Linked DNA regions of Oryctolagus cuniculus. The protein of the gene in region 4 purifies or fractionates together with the protein of the main gene of each other region. This does not show direct contact. Links are inferred from orthologs where the notes say so. Each region holds a gene or a part of one and is shown on either strand. Other genes may lie near its edges. The genes, in order: NUP107, NUP98, NUP133 and NUP43.

The links.
Region 1: the proteins of NUP43 (region 4) and NUP107 purify together in Homo sapiens (affinity purification with mass spectrometry; 8 studies listed by BioGRID and IntAct, counting the BioPlex papers as one, with this or other methods). This does not show direct contact. The link is inferred for Oryctolagus cuniculus from reciprocal best matches to the Homo sapiens genes NUP43 and NUP107.
Region 2: the proteins of NUP43 (region 4) and NUP98 purify together in Homo sapiens (affinity purification with mass spectrometry; 4 studies listed by BioGRID and IntAct, counting the BioPlex papers as one, with this or other methods). This does not show direct contact. The link is inferred for Oryctolagus cuniculus from reciprocal best matches to the Homo sapiens genes NUP43 and NUP98.
Region 3: the proteins of NUP43 (region 4) and NUP133 purify together in Homo sapiens (affinity purification with mass spectrometry; 5 studies listed by BioGRID and IntAct, counting the BioPlex papers as one, with this or other methods). This does not show direct contact. The link is inferred for Oryctolagus cuniculus from reciprocal best matches to the Homo sapiens genes NUP43 and NUP133.

What each region holds. Positions count from the first base shown.
Region 1 is NC_091442.1:71,107,436-71,111,039, reverse strand, and holds the end of NUP107 (nuclear pore complex protein Nup107), read right to left. Parts: intron 2,155-3,604; coding exon 1,987-2,154; intron 1,336-1,986; coding exon 1,228-1,335; 3' UTR 961-1,227; downstream 1-960. UniProt on the Homo sapiens protein: Plays a role in the nuclear pore complex (NPC) assembly and/or maintenance. Required for the assembly of peripheral proteins into the NPC. May anchor NUP62 to the NPC. Involved in nephrogenesis.
Region 2 is NC_091432.1:63,189,306-63,193,884, forward strand, and holds part of NUP98 (nuclear pore complex protein Nup98-Nup96), read left to right. Parts: exon of another isoform or gene 1-328; intron 329-387; coding exon 388-570; intron 571-1,231; coding exon 1,232-1,388; intron 1,389-4,579. UniProt on the Homo sapiens protein: Plays a role in the nuclear pore complex (NPC) assembly and/or maintenance. NUP98 and NUP96 are involved in the bidirectional transport across the NPC. May anchor NUP153 and TPR to the NPC.
Region 3 is NC_091444.1:90,254,750-90,260,015, reverse strand, and holds the start of NUP133 (nuclear pore complex protein Nup133), read left to right. Parts: upstream 1-1,763; 5' UTR 1,764-1,870; coding exon 1,871-2,052; intron 2,053-3,915; coding exon 3,916-4,034; intron 4,035-5,266. UniProt on the Homo sapiens protein: Involved in poly(A)+ RNA transport. Involved in nephrogenesis.
Region 4 is NC_091436.1:18,267,971-18,273,139, forward strand, and holds the start of NUP43 (nucleoporin Nup43), read left to right. Parts: upstream 1-1,539; 5' UTR 1,540-1,610; coding exon 1,611-1,730; intron 1,731-2,003; coding exon 2,004-2,126; intron 2,127-3,786; coding exon 3,787-3,864; intron 3,865-5,169. UniProt on the Homo sapiens protein: Component of the Nup107-160 subcomplex of the nuclear pore complex (NPC). The Nup107-160 subcomplex is required for the assembly of a functional NPC.

The DNA.
Region 1 (3,604 bases), on a different chromosome or scaffold from region 4:
TATTTGCTGGTTCAGAAACATGCCCAACATTTACTGTTTCTGGGCTTTTCTCATACTGACTCCTCATCTATAGGAGCTCACTCTCCTTCTGTCTTATTTTTTTATCTTGGAAAATTCAGCACCTTACTCAAATCTCAGCCCCAGTGCTGTTGCTCAGAGATCTGTTGGCTGGAGATAGTTTCTTCCAGCTCAGATCTGAATAGCATATCTTACATTTATTTTTATACAGTATATCACATGGCACACATATATATCCCCACTGGAGGGCTAGAATAGATCTTATTCATTTTGTATTTCCCACTGTGTTCAGTGCCTACTGTGTACCAAGACTTACATGCTCCAACCGATCTCAATACATTTGCTGAATAAGTAGATATATCTTCAAAATAAAAGCATAGTATTATTTTGAAAACACTCTTGCTACATTCATCTTAATTTCCATATTTAAAAATTAAAAATGTTGGGCCGGCGCTGTGGCACAGCAGGTTAACGCCCTGGCCTGAAGACCAGCATCCCATATGGGCGCTGGTTCTAGTCCCAGCTGCTCCTCTTCCAATCCAGCTCTCTGCTATGGCCTGGGAAAGCAGTACAAGATGGCCCAGGTCCTTGGGCCTCTGCACCCACGTGAGAGACCCGGAAGAAGCTCCTGGCTCCTGGCTTCGGATCAGTGCAGCTCCGGCTGTTGCGGCCGTCTGGGGAGTGAATCATTGGATGGAAGACCTCTCTCTCTGCCTCTCCTCTCTCTGTGTAACTCTAACTTTCAAATAAATAAATAAGTCTTTAAAAAAAATTAAAAATGTTATGATTAATTTTATATTAAATTTTACGATAAATTATGTACCCAACTTGAAAATGAATCTACTTTCCATTTTCTTTATAATTTTAAGATACCAGTGTACTTAAAATTATAGCAAAAAAACCACAAGAAATTTAAGTTCCCTATTACATAATAGACAATTCTTGAATTTGTAAGATCAGAATATTTTAATTTTTATATGCTTTTATTAAAAAACACAATTAGGGAAATACTGATATAATACATTAAATTTTCAAAGTGTTACCATAATATTCTGAAAAATACAAAATTCAAATGTCTAAATTTTACATCTTTTCCCAAAATGATGCAAAAGAAAATCCCGTAATTACAAATATGTATATTTTAATATATATATAAAAAAACCTCCCCATTCACCCTGGAAATTAGTAGGCATACAAAGCTTGGACGAATTACGACTGAATTTCATATCCTAGAGGATCAAGTCCCTGGTCAAGAAGCATCAGCGAGGATTCCCTTAACTTCTGCAGCAATTTCCTTAGTTCTTCCTTAGAAAATACCTGATTTTAAAAGAGAAAAAAGTAATGATGAAAATATGAACTTGTAGTTACCTAATCAATTACTAGCTTCATACAAGAAGTTCCTTTTGAAGGATTTTGTGACCACAGCCTTGTCAGAGAAGCTGAGGGACTATTTTTCTTGGTCTATAACGTCTAGGTGGGTGTTCCGGTGCAGTGGGTAAGCCACAGCTTAGGACACCAGGATTCCATCTGGGAGTGTCGGTCTGAGTCCTGGCTCCTCTGCTTTCAATCAGGCTTCCTCCTGCTAATGTGCCTGGGAGGAAACAGATGACGGACCAATAAGTTCTTGGGTCCCTGCCACCCACATGGGAGACCCAGATGGAATTCCAGAATCCTGGCCCAGCCCTGGTTACTGCAGATACTTGGGGAGTGAACCAGCAGATGGAAGATATCTCTTTCCCTCTCTCTGTCCTTTTGCCTTTCAAATAAAGAAATAAAAACTTTAAAAAATCAAAGAACTTCTAGCTTCTGCTGAATGCATATACATGTTTCAGAGGAAGAAAGCACACATATTAAAACTGGACCACTACCTTCAGAAAACCCAAGAGCAACTGAAAAACGCAAACACACCTTCACAAAGCGGAGGAGAGTGGAATCCCAGTTGCAGGCTGCACGCGCTCCAGCACTTACCAGATACAGTTTGTGGCGCTCGGAGGACACCATATCTGCTAGCTGCAGGCACTCCTGGTGCTGGCCGGTGCTGTGCAGGATGGTGTGCAGCAGAAAGCACAGCATGGGCAGGCAGAGCTTTCTCAGCAAAGCCATCTGGTGCGTTCTTTCATGGTCTTCCTCAGCATCCTACACGGACACCAACAGGCACTTCAACAACCACAAGCCAAAGCAGCCCGATAAAGCAGCAAGACTAAGCCAGCCCCCTCCATGTCCATGGGTTCCAAAGCTGTGGATTTAGCCAACTGGAGACTACACATTTCTCTCCTTGTCGTATCCCCATGTGACAATTACTTACAGAGCACTTCTATTAGGTTTATAATATAGAGATAACATAAAATTTACAGGAAGACGTATTGGGGTTAGATGCAAATACTGTACTGTTTTATGGAATAAGGGATATGAGGATCTGTGGACTTAGGTATCTGCAGGGGGTCCTGGATCCAGTCCCCAAAGGACACTGAGGGACAACTTTCCTGAATCTAAGCCAAAACAGGCAGAAGCTAAGACATTTTTCTAAAGCTTTTCATGCCTGTTAAGAATAAAACAGGAGCTGGCACTATGGTGTATTGGGTAAGGCCACCGCCTGCAGTGCCGGCATCCCATATGGGTGCTGGTCGAGACCTGGCTGCTCCACTTCCTGTCCAGCTCTCTGCTATGGCCTGGGAAAGCAGTAGAAGATGGCCCAAGTCCTTGGGCCCCTGCACCCACGTGGGAGACCCGGAAGAAGCTCCTGGATCCTGGCTTCGGATCAGCTCAGCTCTGGCCGTTGTGGCCATTTGGAGAGTGAACCAGCAGATGGAAGACCTCTCCTTCTCTCTCTGCCTCTCTGTAGCTCTGCTTTTCAAATAAATAAATAAATAAATCTTAAAAAATAAAGAGGGCCGGCGCCGTGGCTCATTAGGCTAATCGCGCCGACACTCCGGGTTCTAGTCCCAGTTGGGGAGCCAGTTCTGTCCTGGTTGTTCCTCTTCCAGTCCAGCTCTCTGCTGTGGCCCGGTAAGGAAGTGGAGGATGGCCCAAGTGCTTGGGCCCTGCACCCGCATGGGAGACCAGGAGAAGCACCTGGCTCCTGGCTCCTGGCTTCGGATCGGCGCAGCACACCGACCTTAGCGGCCATTTGGGAGGTGAACCAATGGAAGGAAGACTTTTCTCTCTGTCTCTCTCTCTCTTACTGTCTAACTCTGCCTGTCGGAAAAAAAAAAAAAAAAAAAAAAAAAAGAATAAAGAATAAAACAGGGTTTTATAAGGCAGAGCTTCAATCATGGGATGTAGACAACAGGATTTTATAGCAAAAAAGCCTGAAGATGAATAAAGTATACCACAGAGAACACAGTGTAATCATGAAAATAAAATGCTTCTGAACTTGTGTTTCTAATAAACTTGCTTGTGTAGAATAAAAACATGCATAAAAGGGATAAGAGACTAGATAACACTACAGCAAAAATCAGAACCAAAAATAATGGCCATTTTGCTAGACAGAGATGTAACCACAGACTGATCTAAGGAGTGGGAGAACACACTAAGTGCCCTTGGCCCTGAGACTCCTTATTGCCTGTTAATGATCTCATCTCACAGG
Region 2 (4,579 bases), on a different chromosome or scaffold from region 4:
TCTTTTAAAAAATGTAAAATTCCTAGACACTTTGTATTTGTACCTTGTTCTCTTTTCAATGACTTCTGGCTACAAGGCAATGTGAGGGCAGGGTGATACTGTGTAAATCAGAAAATTGTGTTAATTTCAGGTAAGACATAATCTTTTGTTTCTAAAGACTATCACTTATTACAAAAGAATGATTCCATGAATCCTCATTCAGATGCCAAGTACTTATTGGTGGGTATTGGGATAATTACTGTTAAATCCTCTTCAGCACCTCATGATGGAATTGGTAAAATCTAACATTGCTGTATCATATTCTGAATAAACTGAATCTGATCTAGAAGCTCCGTGTTTATTTGGTTTAATTTAATGCTGCTTCCCTGATGTTTCTGCTGTCTACAGAGTCAGAGTCCAGAGGTGGAACAGTTAGGGAGGGTTGTGGAACTGGACAGTGACATGATAGATATCACCCAGGAGCCAGTTTTGGATTCCATGTTAGAAGAGAGCGTGCCTGAAGATCAGGAACCTGTGTCTGCTTCCACGCACATTGCATCTTCACTGGGAATTAATCCACATGTTTTACAGGTGATGTCCTAATCCACAGTTATTACAACAGATAGCCCAACTAATATTTTATCTCTCTTGAGTAACACCAGGCTTAATAAGACTGTCGAGTGGTCACTGTATGAGGAAAACAAAAATAAGAATTTGGTCAGTGTTTGGGCATCATTTTCCCATTCAGGGAAAGAAAGATATATTGGGATGTAGAGCTTCTGGTTTTTTAAGGGTATTAGTATCAGGTGATCTGGATTCTAATCCCAGTTTTGTGAATTTATTACTGTGTGACAGTCATTTAACGTCTGTGAGCACTGACTTCTGTAAAACATAACTTTTTCTACTTTGAAGGTTGTTTTTGAGGCTTTGTAAAGTGTTCCACAAAATTTTAAAGTTTCTGTAAACCCTGTCTCTACTTCACCTTGCCCATGCCAAAAGGCATGAGTTTAGCTTTTGGCTTGTGCTTATGTTTGATTTTAAAATTATTTATTAAGACCTCAGCAGTTGCTATATGCCAGGTTCTGGTGAGACACATTGTAATGAAATCAGTAACACAAATATTACAGTATTTCTGGACACTATCTTAAGAAGTAATTTTTTTTGGTTGTTGTAAACTGTATCTTTTAGTAGCCTTTCAGTTTCAGAGAGCACATTCATTGTGTGTCTGTGTATATACATATTGCCTTTTTAGATCATGAAAGCATCACTGCTTGCTGATGAAGAAGATATAGACATGATGCTGGATCAGCGCTTCAGTCATGTTCCTTCCAAAGCAGATGCTTCTCAAGAAATCTGTTCTCCCAGACTCCCCATTTCAGCATCCCACCCATCAAAATCTCGTTCACTAGGTATTGTATAAATACGCTGTTTTACAAGAAAGCTGTAGAGTCATCAAGTTCCACGTTTCATATATCTCCTGTGCTGAGTAGATTTCCAGAATGTATCTCCCTAACAGCCATACCTCTGACATAAGAATGTTAAGAGAGCTCACACTCTTATATTAGGAGTGTCCAGTTTTTTAAGAACTATAATTACTTCTGTTGGTGAAGATGCAGAAATTGTATGGAGAGTATAGTATTTGTGCTTTGCTTAGGGTCATGCTTTTGTTTGCTTATGAGTATGAATTAAATAAGTTCCAATTTCCAAATTTTTATCACAAGTTACTTTGAGGATTTAACAAGTTGTCCTACATTGGACTCTCTGTGTAGTCCTAATGCTATCTCAGTGCCTTATGAGGAAATCTTTGCCTTTTGATAATTCATAGAATTCATCAAGATTCAAGATTCCAATTTTCCCTAAGCTTTTTGCCTAGTGGACTAGTAACTTGGTGGAATTGGAGGTAGGGTATTACTATAAACAGAACACTTGAACAGTTAAGTGAATATTAAGTTGTGGTCATTGGAGCAGCAGTTAAGATGTCATTTGGGATACTTGCATACTATAATGAAATTTCTGGATTGGAATCCATTCAAGTTCCCTGGGAGGCAGCAGGTGATGGCTTATATAGTTGTATCTCTGCTACCTGGGATTGAATTCCTGGCTCCCAAAACTCAAACCGGCACCCATATGGGATGTTGGCAGTGGGGGCAGCGGCTTTACCTGCCATGCCACAGCTCTGGCCCCATGCTGCTCCACTTTTTTTTTTTTTACCCCTCCAGTAGAGGGCGCACTCTTGCGAGCGGCTTTTGTAGCCAGTTGCTTCCTGGGTGCTTTACCACCAGTCAATTTGCGGCAGTCTGCCCTGTATGAGCCATGGTATAAAGACCTCCCTACTTACCACACTTCTCCTTCAGCTGGAGCTCGGCGAGCGAGAGGCCGCGCTGGCGTTAGAGAGCAACGGCGGCACGGCTACTGCTCCACTTTCAATCCATCTTCTTGCTAATGCAGCTGGGAAGGCAGTGGATGATGGCCCAATTGCTTGGGCTGCTGCCACCCTTCTGGGAGACTGGGATGAAGTTTCTGACTCCTGAGTTTGACCTAGCACAAACCTGGCTGTTGTGGCCATCTGGGGAATGAATAAGCAGGTTAAAGACATTTCTCTCTCTTTCTTGGGGTCTCTCTAAGTCTTTGTCACTCTGCTTTTCAGACAATTCAGTTAATAAATCCTTTTAAAAAATTGTGGATTAGGCAATTCTTTTTTTTTTTTTTATTTTTTTATTTTTTTTTTTTTTTATTTTTGACAGGCAGAGTGGACAGTGAGAGAGAGAGAGACAGAGAGAAAGGTCTTCCTTTGCCGTTGGTTCACCCTCCAATGGCTGCCACGGCCGGCGCGCTGCGGCCGGCGCACCGCGCTGATCCGATGGCAGGAACCAGGAGCCAGGTGCTTTTCCTGGTCTCCCATGTGGGTGCAGGGCCCAAGCACCTGGGCCATCCTCCACTGCACTCCCTGGCCACAGCAGAGGGCTGGCTTGGAAGAGGGGCAACCGGGACAGAATCCGGCGCCCCGACCGGGACTAGAACCCGGTGTGCCGGCGCCGCTAGGCGGAGGATTAGCCTAGTGAGCCGCGGCGCCGGCCCGGATTAGGCAATTCTAATAAGAACTTTTCCTCAGAAAAGTACATGTGCAATCATAAGAATTTTCAATATTTTTTTCTTTAACTCGTAACAGAAGGTAGGAATTTGAGTTTTGATCTTTGATCTTACTAAGCTCTTATAAGGACTAAGAAAGTTATTTTGAATTTTTTAAAAAGATTTATTTACTTATTTATTTGAAAGAGAGATAGAAAGCTTCCATCTGCTCTTTGAGACCCCCAAATGTCTGCAACAATGGAACTGAGCCAGGCCAAACCCAGGAGTCTGGAATTTCGTGCAGGTCTCCCACATGGGTGTATCTCCCAAGTACTTAAACCATCTTCTGTTGCTTTCCCAGATGCATTAAAAGGGAACTGCATTAGAAGTGGAGCAGGTGGGACTCAAACCAGCACCCATGGGATCCTGGTATTAGAGGCAGCAACATAACCTGCTGTGCCACAGTCCTGTCTCCTTTTATCAGACATGGTGTTCCATTTGACTTTTTGATACATTTATAGATTGTGTAATGTCCACTCAGGGGAAATACATCTCTGTTCAAACATTTAACAGTTCTTTAAAAAACATCCAAAATCCTATCATGGATTTGTTGTGTGTGTATGTGTGTGTGTGTGTTTTTAGTAACATAAATATATAAGAATTAACCATGTGTAATCTTCACACATTTGGAATTTTTATTTAAAGTTTTTATTATTTATAATTATATAATTAATATATATTATATAATATAATTAATTATATGAAAAGCAGAATGACAGAGGGAAAGGGAGAAACGAGAGAGAGAGAGATCTTCAGTCCATTGGTTCTCTCCCCAAATGACATCAAGGGCCGAGGCTGAGTCAGACCAAAGCCATGAGCCAGGAACCCCATCCAGGTCTCCCATGTGGATGGCAGGGGCTGCAAGTACTTGGGCCATCTGCTGCTGCTTTCCAAGATGTATTGGCAGGGAGCTGGACTAGAAGGAGTGTACCTGGGACTTGAACCAATGCTCCAATAAAGCATTGGTATCATAGGCAGTGACTTAACACACTGCTCTGCAATGCCTGCCCCCCACATTTGGGATTTTGGTATGGGCTTAGTACTGGTAACAGACCTCCCTGTACTTTCCCTGCCAGTCCTGGTATTTGGTAGATTTTTTGAGTTTGTACAAGCTACCACTTACTTGAAACCAGTTTTCTTACTTACAAAAATGGGGTGGTGATAATTCTTCCTGTCTAAAGTTACTGTAGAATGAAATGAAATAATAATGTGCACAGATGCTTGTAGAGCATGCTACAAATAAGCTCTAAATAATTTTTCAAAAATTTTAGTGTATTGTTTGTTAATATTATTGCTCTTATTGTTGACACCATCATCATTATAGTTGCTGCTTTGATTTCCTGGTTGAAAGAGTAGTTGCTGCAAAAGATGATCTAACTTCCTTCTGGTCATGTGTGTCTGATTTAGTTAGCTGATGATTTCAACTTTGCTGACTTTTGTTGTTCAGGAAATAATAGGTAGTAATAATTTT
Region 3 (5,266 bases), on a different chromosome or scaffold from region 4:
AGGACCTAAGTGGAATGGGTTGCCTGTTGCTCATCTGACAGCATGGTGCTTCCCTCCAGATGCTTGGCAAAATAAACCGATTAGGGTTACTTTGTTTCACCCTGTTCCTAGTTCTGCTACTGATCACCTTAAAGAGCTTCCTGGTATTTACCAAGTTTTCCTGTTATTGTTAGTGTTTGTTACTAAGAGTTAATGAGTAAGTCCTAGCAGCTCTGAGATCTCGGGGTAAAGAAGCTAAATAGTTTTGTGCATACCTTGCTTTGCTCTGATAAATTTAAGGAGTTTTAAACTAAGTGTTAAGTTTTGATGATACTGTATCTGTACTTGGATGATGTTAATGATTACCCCATTGTAGTTCAGTAAAAATGAAGAGCAAGAGAAAAAATATAGACTAGGGGTACAAAGGATAAAGGGCTATCTACCCCTGAGAAGATAGCACTGAACTAAAACTAGATGCTTGAGCCAACAGGGGAGGGAAGGGCATTCTAGTGAGAGAAACATGCAAGGGTACTGCAGTAGGATGTGGGTTTTTGAAATTCTTCCAATGTCAAGTGCAGTGGTGGGAATAGCATAGGGACAAAAAAAAAAAAAAAGCCAGAAAGAATTTTTTTAAATGTATTGCTATATTTATTTGCAAAGAAAAGCAATACAGGAGAGACAAAGAGCTGTTCCATCTGTGGATTCAGGTTCACTCCCCAAAGAAGGCAGGGCCACGTGAAGCCAGGAACTGCTTCCTCGGCTCCCACGTGGGTGGCAGGGGCCCAAGTATTTGGGCCATCCTCTGCTGCCTTAGCAGGCGCATTAGCAGGAAGGAGTAGCTGGGACTCAAACTGGCACTCCCATATGGGGTGCCAGCATTGCATTGTGCGTGTAGCATTAATCCACTGCCCCTGCCCCAGCCAGCCAGAATTAAATAACAAAGCATCTGGCAAAGGAATTTAGCAAATAACCCACGGTCATTTTACACGACCAAGATCTTGCAGGTCTGCCTTTACTTAATTGTGTTGGACACACAGGTGGAGTAAGGCTACACAGATTGGAGTAGGGCTACAGAGGCCAGGAGACGCTCCCCTTCCCCCCCAAACGGGCTGTGCAGTGACCCAGGAAGAGGTAAGGAGGGCAGAGTCAGCGCGAATGTGAGAGCTACAGTTCCGGGCATGGTAGGGTGGAGGTCAGCGTGAAGCAGGACCAAGGGCTAGGGCTCTTCTTTTTTACCTTACGGGACAGAGGCGGTAGGAAGACAGGCGTCCTAAAGGGAAACGTGGATTCAGCCTTTAGAAAGAGGATTCTTAGGAGTCTGCAGGCTGCGCAGGAGGGAGTGTGCACTAGGGAGCGGCTGGGGGTCTAGAATTTGGGGTTTGGATCTGGGTTTGCGCGGACGAGACTGTACAGGGTTGTATGGGGAAATGGCAAACCTAGAGAAAAACAAATGGAACATTTCAAGTGAAACCAGAGTCAACTTCACGGTATTTCTCCTCCCAAAGAATGGACTCTAAAATATCTTCCATTTCCCGAGACGCTCAAGAACCACCAGCGTGGGGAAAAGCTTTACGTTCAGGTGCAGGACCAGTGCCACCTAGAGCAGCCGAGAAAGCTCTTAGCTTTTCACTTCCACGCACCTGCAAGGTCGAAAACCCCCCAGCTTGGGATCGCGCGTAAGGGGCCCCCACCTTCTTTTCTACGGACTTAGCGAAACGGCGCCTCGGCGCTAAGCTTGACGTCATCACCGCGCGCCAGCCCATCTCCGTCTACGCCGTCGCGCCGCGCCGCGCCGCCCCGGACGTCATCACTAGGCGCCCCTCCCGCCTCGGGTGTTCAATTTTCAGTCGCAAGTCTTGCTCGTGTTCTACGACTGGAACTTCCTCGGGCCATGTTCCCGGCCGTTCCTTCTCCGCGGACCCCGGGTCCTGGGTCCCGAAGGGGCCCGCCGGCTGGAGTCGGGGCGGGTTCCACGCCCCGAACGGCCAGCCGGCGAGGTCTGTCTCTGGGCTCTGCGGTCAGCTCTCCCGCTCTCTTCTCTCCCGTAGGCCGGCGGAGCTCGCTGAGCTCGCGGTAGGTGGTCGCCCCGGGTTGGTTCCAGCGATTGGTAGGCTTCAGGTCGCGGTGGGCCCGTGAGGTGGGGGTTCTGGAAACCTTGGGCACTAGCAGCAGCCGAGGGTCGGGGGAAGTGGGCTGAATAGACCTTCTCGCGGCTTATTTTAGTGTCACGTGATTAACTTCATACGTTCGGGGAAAACTGGGGTTGGCTTTCAAAAAGTTTCAGTTTATATGACATTTAGCATAAATGGGTCCATTTTGGTTTGTCTGTGTGTTGAGGGCCAGCTCAGGCGAAGTCCAAAACCATGGTTCCCGTAATTTTCATTTAACAGTTTCTACTTAATGCTAAGGGTATTAGCGCTACTCACTATTACTATAATTCTGGCTTTCCAGTCTTATTTGAGAGTTACAGACAGAGAGGGAGAAACAGAGAGAGGTCTTCCATGGCTACGATGGCCAGAGCTGGGCCAGTCTAAAGCCAGGAGCTTTTTCCAGGGAGATTTTGGGTCATGTACTGCTTTCCCAGGCTGTAGCAGAGAGTTGGATCGGAAGAGCAGCCAGGACTCAAACGAGCACCCTATAGGATGCCGGCACTGCAGGCAGAGGCTTAGCCTACTGTGCCTCAGTGCTGGCCCCATTCTGTGTGATCTTGACATAGCAGTTCAGGAAGCCATTAGTTTGTTCATTAAAGTTCTAGAATTTCTTACCCAGTCCAGTGGTAGATTGTAGTTCCAGAAATTGACATTTGAGTCCTTTTGTAAATCTCTTTAAAGAAAAAGTAATATTGGACTGTGGCTCTTTGTAGATGCTTCAAAACCACTCTCTGTCTATGACAAATACTTAGAACAGCCATGACTGGAAATAGGACAGTTCATTATAACCAGCCATTTACAAAATGTAGTTCTTCCTATGATATTCATAAAAACCAGAGTTCAGACTGATAACACTAGATTTATAGGAATCTCATATAATTTTTGGAATACTCAAGTCAATAGGGTATCATAAATATAGCTTAAAGTTTAGCAGCACTTACAGTTTGGTAATGCTTCTAATGTAATTTAACATACAAGTATATCCCTTGTGACTTTGCAGAGATCCAACTGGAAAATCCCAAATTCAAGGTCAAAATCAAAAAGACTCCAGTTGGAGTTTTATTTGGGCATGTTTGTCAAAAATGTTAGAAGATTTAAAACATTTAATTAGATATGATTTTAGTGCTCTGTTTTATCAAGATGATGAAAGATTTTAAAGGCAAATACATTTTGCCTTTCATGACTGTGAACAGAAACTGTACTCATGAAGAAGACTCACACTTTTCTTAAATGGAGAAGCTGAGAGAAGCTTAAGGATCTGATGCCCAGTTTTCTAAGTCCTGAAAAATTTTTTTTATGGAAAAATACATTTAAATACACAGTATACATAAGCCAGTGGTGTTTGTTTTTAAATATTAATTTATTTGAAAAGCAGAGTCAGGGAGGGAGGGAGAGAAAGAGATCTTCCATTCACCGATTCACTCCCCAAAATGGCCACAACAGCCAGAGCTAGGCTGCTCCAAAGCCATGAGCCAGAGTTTCTTCCAGGTCTCTCACATGGGTGCAGGGACTCATATGGGCCATGCTCTGCTGCTTTCCCAGACACATTAACAGGGAGCTGGATTGGAAGTGGAACAGCCGGAACTCGAACCAGCACCCATATAGGATGTCGGGGTCGCAGACGGCAGCTTTACCACCACAACACCGGCCCCAATCCAATGGTTTTTTTTCCACGGTTGCACTTCATGTTGTGTATCAAGATACCTCTGTTGTGTAAATCTAGATAAAAATTAGGATAATGATCCATTGTATGTGATAAATGAAATAGTATGGTTTCTTTCCTTAGAGGAACGCCTACACGAATATTCCCACAGCACTCCATATCTGAGACTGTGAACTACGATGTCAAGACCTTTGGATCTTCTCTCCCTGTCAAAGTCATGGAAGCCCTAACGTTGGCTGAAGGTAGGCATCGTCTTTCCACTCGCCTCTGTTAGCAATTCTGATTGGAGCCCAGATCTGCCATGGAGATGGGCATTTGTGCTTCCTCTGATATACCTACACTTAAGCGAATAGAAATGGCTAGCTGTCTAGTGTTTCAACTGTAATTGAGATACGTAATGAATTTGAGAAGCAGTATGAGTTCATTGTGGCACAGTCACATTCAGTCTTAAGTGGCTTTAGGAACTGTATATGAATAGTTAGTCCAATTTGAAAAGTTGATCAGGTATATGAAGTTTAGTTTTTTAAAAAAAAGGAGTGCCATGCGTTACTTGGCAGTACAGTCAAGTCCTACCTCCATTTCTGGATCCTGTGTAGTACCTGAGAGGCTGTGTACACAAATTCATGAGGTTACCACTGTGATGTGCCTTCAAAAGGTTCTGTTGGCAGAGAAATAGTGTGGCAGTTGGAAGATGCAAAGAATACAAGCTTAGAAAAGCAGCATTAAGGGCCAATAGTGGCAAAATGGGGTAAGCCAACACTTGCGGCACTGGCATCCAGTATCAGATTGTGAGTCCTGGCTACTCCACTTCCTGTCTGCTCCCTGCTAAGTGACCAGGGAAGGCAGTGAAAGAGGACCCAAGTGCTTGCATTTCTGCTATCCACGTGAAAAGACCCAGATGGGGCTCCTGGCTCCTGGCTCCTGGCTCCTGCCTGGTCCACACTTGATTGTTAGGGGAATTTAGGGAGTGGATCTGCTGATGGAGCATTTTGCTCTCTTTCCATTTCTGTCACTCTGCCTTGCAGATAAAGAAAAACAACTTGAAGGTTCAGGAATTCGGCAACAGAGTAACAACAAAATTCAGTGTCCTCAGCATCTGCCTAAGTAATTTCTATTAAGGAATCATTTGCAGATTTTTGTTATTTTCTGGAACAGTGTTTTTCATTGTGGTGACTAAAAAGTAGTTTAGTGGTTCATGGCCAGCATTTAAAAAAAATAGTAAATGGAATAAAATGCAAAATATCAGAGTGAATCTCCAGTAAAACTATTTATACCGTGAATAATAGTTTTGAAAAAGTTTAAAATACTTTGTTCTAGAGGAAGGAATATTTCTCACCAACTTGAACTTTTACATTTTTGCCCATAAGTCCTTGGGGCTTTTGTTTCCAGACAACTAAACTGCTAACCTCTGTCACACATTGTTCTGTTTTAAATAAGTAAATAAAGATACATATATATTTCAGTTTCAATGTGA
Region 4 (5,169 bases):
GGAGCCTCACGGATTCCGCTGTGAGGCTGGGCTCGAACCGTGCCCAAGCCCGGGATGGGGAAACTGCCTGTGGCGTCCAAGCTGCAGACTGCGAGCTAGCACGGAGTCTGACAGAATGCAGCCGTCGTTTAGGTCATTCGGTAAACGTTTAGGAAAGAAACAAAGCTGTGTCACCGCGTCTAAGCTCTTAGATCAGCAGCAGTTTTCAAGTTCTCGCGCTTACCAGGTTCTGTCGAATGTGACACTGTTCAAAAATACGCATGTCCTCTTGTCGGGGTTCTGTGGTCGTAAACGAGCCCACACGCAATTGTTCTTTCCGTGGATATATGATAGGAATGAAATTGTCGACTTGGGGCTCATCCGCTTCCCGGGCGCCCGTTCCGTCTCTCCGCAGACGGCTGGCGATCTTCGGCTGCAGAGCAGACCCTGGTAACTCTCACCGAAGCCGGCCGCGGCGGTTACGTTTCGTCCACTCCTTGCACAAACTGTCCCGGTGAAGTGGGACCCCCGACCTCGTAAACCGGCAGCCCGGCACGGCCCCCTTTAAAGAGACAACATATAGTTATGAATACAGCGGTGTAAGAGAGTTGCCAAGGTGGAATAAATCATACCTCTTGGAATCAGTAGGATTTCCACGCTAAGGAGCTTTGGAAAAGGAAACCAGAAACGGGGCAAAATGCGTGCTCTTAGTGATGCAGATACGAAACGTTCTGTTTTATTCTCCTCCTCATCCTCCGCTGAGGCCGTCAGGGAAAGGGTGAAGGGTGGACAGGATTCTGAGAGGAGGAGTGGAAAGGTATTTTAGCCATAACCAAAGGCACTAAAGGAACCCGCAGCACTCATGCCCCAGGCTGTGGACGTTAGGTATCACAAAATCCGTTCTTAATTATGTAATGGAAGTGGAGCCGGTGTTGTGGCACAGTGGTTTTAGCCGCCGATTTGCGTCCTGGCTGTTCCCAGCTTTGACCTGACCCAGCCCTGGCCTAAGCCACCATTTGGGGAGTGAGCCAGCGGATGGAAGAGCTCCCTCTGTGTGTGTGTCTCTCCCTCTCTCTGCAACTCTGCCTTTGAAATAAATCTTTTCTTAAAAAATTACGTATGTAAGTGAGTTGACCAAGGTTACAGTTAGGTAACCTTAGGTAACTGGCAGCAGAACTAAAACTGGAGTCAAAGGTTTAGGATAATAAATTCGTACTTTATTGGAAATAGTGCCATGAAGATTGAAGGATTTTGAGTTGTTTGCTATGCATAGTGACAAGCAGCTGATGTGCCTGCAAGGTGGTTTCCCACGCAGTGATTTTGTTCTTAAGTTATTGCACAAGCACGTTGTCTCCATGTTCCTCCTCTGCATTTGCATGTCGGGTGCAGATCCCACTGCACATAGGCCGGGGCACTCTTGGTTTTGCTCAAAGCCACCTCGCTGATCATGGGCGCCTCAGACCCCTCCTGGTCCGGGCCCGGCAGTGCCTGCACCGCCTTCCGCTGGGAATTGGCCCTTCGCGGCCGCCGTCGCCCGGCGAGCTCCCATCCAATCAGAGCTCCGCGGGAAGGGGCGGAACCCGGAGGCGCGCGGCGCGCGGCTGGCTGTGCCTGCTGCTGTTGCTTTCAGCATGGAGGAGCTGTATGCCAAGTTTGTGTCTGAGAAAATCAGCAAAACCCGCTGGCGGCCGGTGCCTCCGGGGAGCCTGCAGACCGCCGAGACCTTTGCCACGGGCTCTTGGGACAATGAGGTACCCTGGCTCCGGGGCGGGACCCCGGGGCTCCGTCCTCTCCCACGCCCAGGTGCCCTGGAGCGCGCGACTTTCCATCCTCCCCGGCCCCGGGTCCGGGGGCTCGGCTGCAGCCAGCGTGGGTGTGCCCGAGCCCCCGTCTTCTTGTTTCACATTCTGCCCATGCCGTGTGAGATGCTTTGGAGCCCAGGTTGCCTTAAGGCGATACGCATTGGGTTTACTTTCCAGAGTTGACGGTTCTGTCATCTCAAGATGAAGCCGTTTGCTTTACAGGAGAATCACGTTTCACTGTGGTCTATCGGAGATTTCGGAAACCCGGACTCTGATGGAAGCCTGGAAGGAGACCATCGACTGTTGTGCGATATCAAACACCATGGTGACGTCATGGACTTACAGGTAAACGCGTCCAGTGCCCAGAGGCTCGCTTCTAAAGAAAGCCAGAGCAGTGCATTTAGAGTGCAGAGACCTGAGAGCTCTCCTGGCCTCACCCCTAGTTTACAGGAAAGCGAGTTCTCCATAGGTTAGGATTTACCCAACGTAGACTGATCACTTAGTGGCACAACCTCCCAGCTGCAAGCGATTTTTTTATTTTATTATTATTATTTTTTTTTTGACAGGCAAAGTTAGTGAGAGAGACAGGTCTTCCTTCCGTTGGTTCACCCCTCAAATGGCCACCTCGGACGGCGCTGCACCGATCCGAAGCCAGGAGCCAGGTGCCTCCTCCTGGTCTCCCATGCGGGTGCAGGGCCCAAGCACTTGGGCCATCCTCCACTGCCTTTCCGGGCCACAGCAGAGAGCTGGACTGCAAGAGGAGCAACCGGGACAGAATCCGGCGCCCCAGCCGGGACTAGAACCCGGTGTGCCGGCGCCGCAGGCGGAGGATTAGCCTATTGAGCTGCGGTGCCGGCCTGCAAGTGATATTTTTGGAGTTTTACATAAGACCGTTTAATTCTAATTACATGTCTGTGAGTCAGTATTGTTATTTCTATTTTGCCCGTGAGAATGCTAAGAATATTATCTTTCGAGCACACACTGCTAAGGATCTCAAAGTTCATGGAAAATGCATATTATAGATAAACTATGCATGGGCTTTTAAAAATTTTGCACTAGAATGCATTATCTTTTAATTTCATTTTCCATAAACTTCTTGAATTATCCTCATTTGTGACAAATACTGTGCAGGGTAGGTCTTTTAAATTTTTTGATTTCTCATAACCCACCCTGAGTAGGATTAGTACTCCCTGTTTAAAAATACAGATTTTTAAAAATTTACTTATTTGAGAGGTAGAGTTAGAGACAGAGAGAAAGTTCTCGATCTGCTGGTTCACTCCCCAAATGGCTGCAATGGCCATAACTGGGCTGATCTGAAGCCAGGAGCTTCTTCCCAGTCTCCCATGCGGGTGCAGGGGTCCAAGGACTTGGGCCATCCTCTACTGCTTTCTCAGACCATAGCAGAGGGCCGGGTCAGAAGAGGAGCAGCCAGGATGGAAACCAGGGTGCGTGTGAGATGTTGGCCCTGCAGGCGGAAGCTTAGCCTATTGTACCACAGCAGTGGCCTCAGGGAAATTTCTTTTTTAATGTATTTGTTAGAGCTCCCATCAACTGGCTCATTCACCAAAGCCTGCGTCAATCAGGAGCCAAGAGCCAGGAACTCAGTCCAGGTCTCCCATGTGGGTAGCATGGACCCAATTACTTGAGTCATTACCATTGCTTTGCAGGACCTGCGTTAACAGGAAGCTGAAATAAGGAGCCAGAACTGGGTGTTGAACACAGGCATTCTGAACTTGGGCATCTCAACCCAACATCATAGCAAGCCAAATGCCCACCACATTCCAAGGCTTAGAGAATTTAACTTGGCCAACCATTTATTCCTCATGAAAATACCTTTATTTGTATAGCAATGTTAACTTTTAGATCTAACAAATGTTATTTGGGTAGCACTTACAGGCTTTTTACCTTTTACAGTTACGTAATTTGCTATAAATTCAGTTAAACAACGGGTTTCCTCCCTACTAGTTTTTCTGAATCTATAATAAGCAGGAATTTTTCTGTTTAGTTTTTTGACCAGGAAAGAATTGTAGCTGCTTCATCAACAGGATGTGTAACAATTTTCCTTCACCATCCAAATAACCAGGTAAAGAACTTTGGTTTGAAAAGTGAATTTGTATTTTAGTTATTTTTAGAAAGGTGTAAGGAAAACCGTATTTAATAGTTTTAAAGCCTTACGATATGAAGGGGGGGAAAATATCATTACTTTTTGCGAATGTAATTCTAGAACCATGTTTTTGTGAGTTGTTTGTTTGTTTGTTTGTTTGTTTTTGAAAGAGAATTACAGAGAAAGGAGGGGAAAGACAGAAACAGAAAGGTCTTCCTTCCACTGGTTCATTTCTCAGTGGCTGCATCAGCCAGGGGTGGGCCAGACCAAAGCCAGAAGTCAGGAGTTTCTTCCAGGTCTCCTGCTTGGGTGCAGGGGCTCAAGCACTTGGGCCATCCTCTACTGCTTTCCCAGGCCATTAGCAGGGAGCTAAATGGGAAGTGAAGCAGCCAGGACTTGAACCATTGCCCATATGAGATGCCGGCATTGTAGGTGGTGGCTTTACCTGCTACGCCACAGCGCCAGCCCTGTGAGCTGTTATTGAAATTGGGTAAACCTGCAATGCATTCTGTTAGTTTGGATGAAGCAATATGGTAATTTGGCAGGTAATTTTCCATAATTCTTTAAGTTCCTATTCTAGTCTTTTGAAGAAAGAGCCTCTTTTAGCTCAGATACTGTAGCAGAGAACAGGATCGGCTGTCTTGCCTCTGTGGATAGAACTCAGGTCTGCAATTGAAGCCAGCATCTGCTGTATGAAGACATGACTTATTTTTCAGTACTTTCTTGTGTGCTAAAGCCCATCAGGCCCAGCCTGCAGAACCTACTGGTGCAGGCAGTTCCTTAAAACAGCCCCACCAGTAATAACGCAGTTTGAAGTTGCTGGAGGAGAGTGTTCATTTAGGTTTTAAGGTTAAATGCCACCTTACTTACAGGCATGCCTAATAAACATAAGACCCAGATCTCATTAAGTATTTTTCTTAATGGAGTCACTTATGAGAGACTGTAGCGATTTATTTATTAGATGTACTCATTCCCATAAAAATTTAGTTGTTTTTGAACATTCAACTACCTCTTACCTAAAAACAATTATGTTAGTTTGAGATAAATGTGGAACATTGTTAGACCACATTCGTTTTCAGCCTAGTTCAGTGTGCACAGAGCTTTGGCAGTAATTGAGTATCAATACTGTAAAGGAGAAAGGAGAGTTTTGTTTTGTTTTGTTTTTGTTTTGTTTTTTAGATTTGTTTATCTATTTGAGAGGCAGAGTTACAGACAGAGGAAGAGACAGAGAAAGAGGTCTTCCATCTGCTGGTTCACTCCCCAAATGGCTGCGATGGCTAGAGC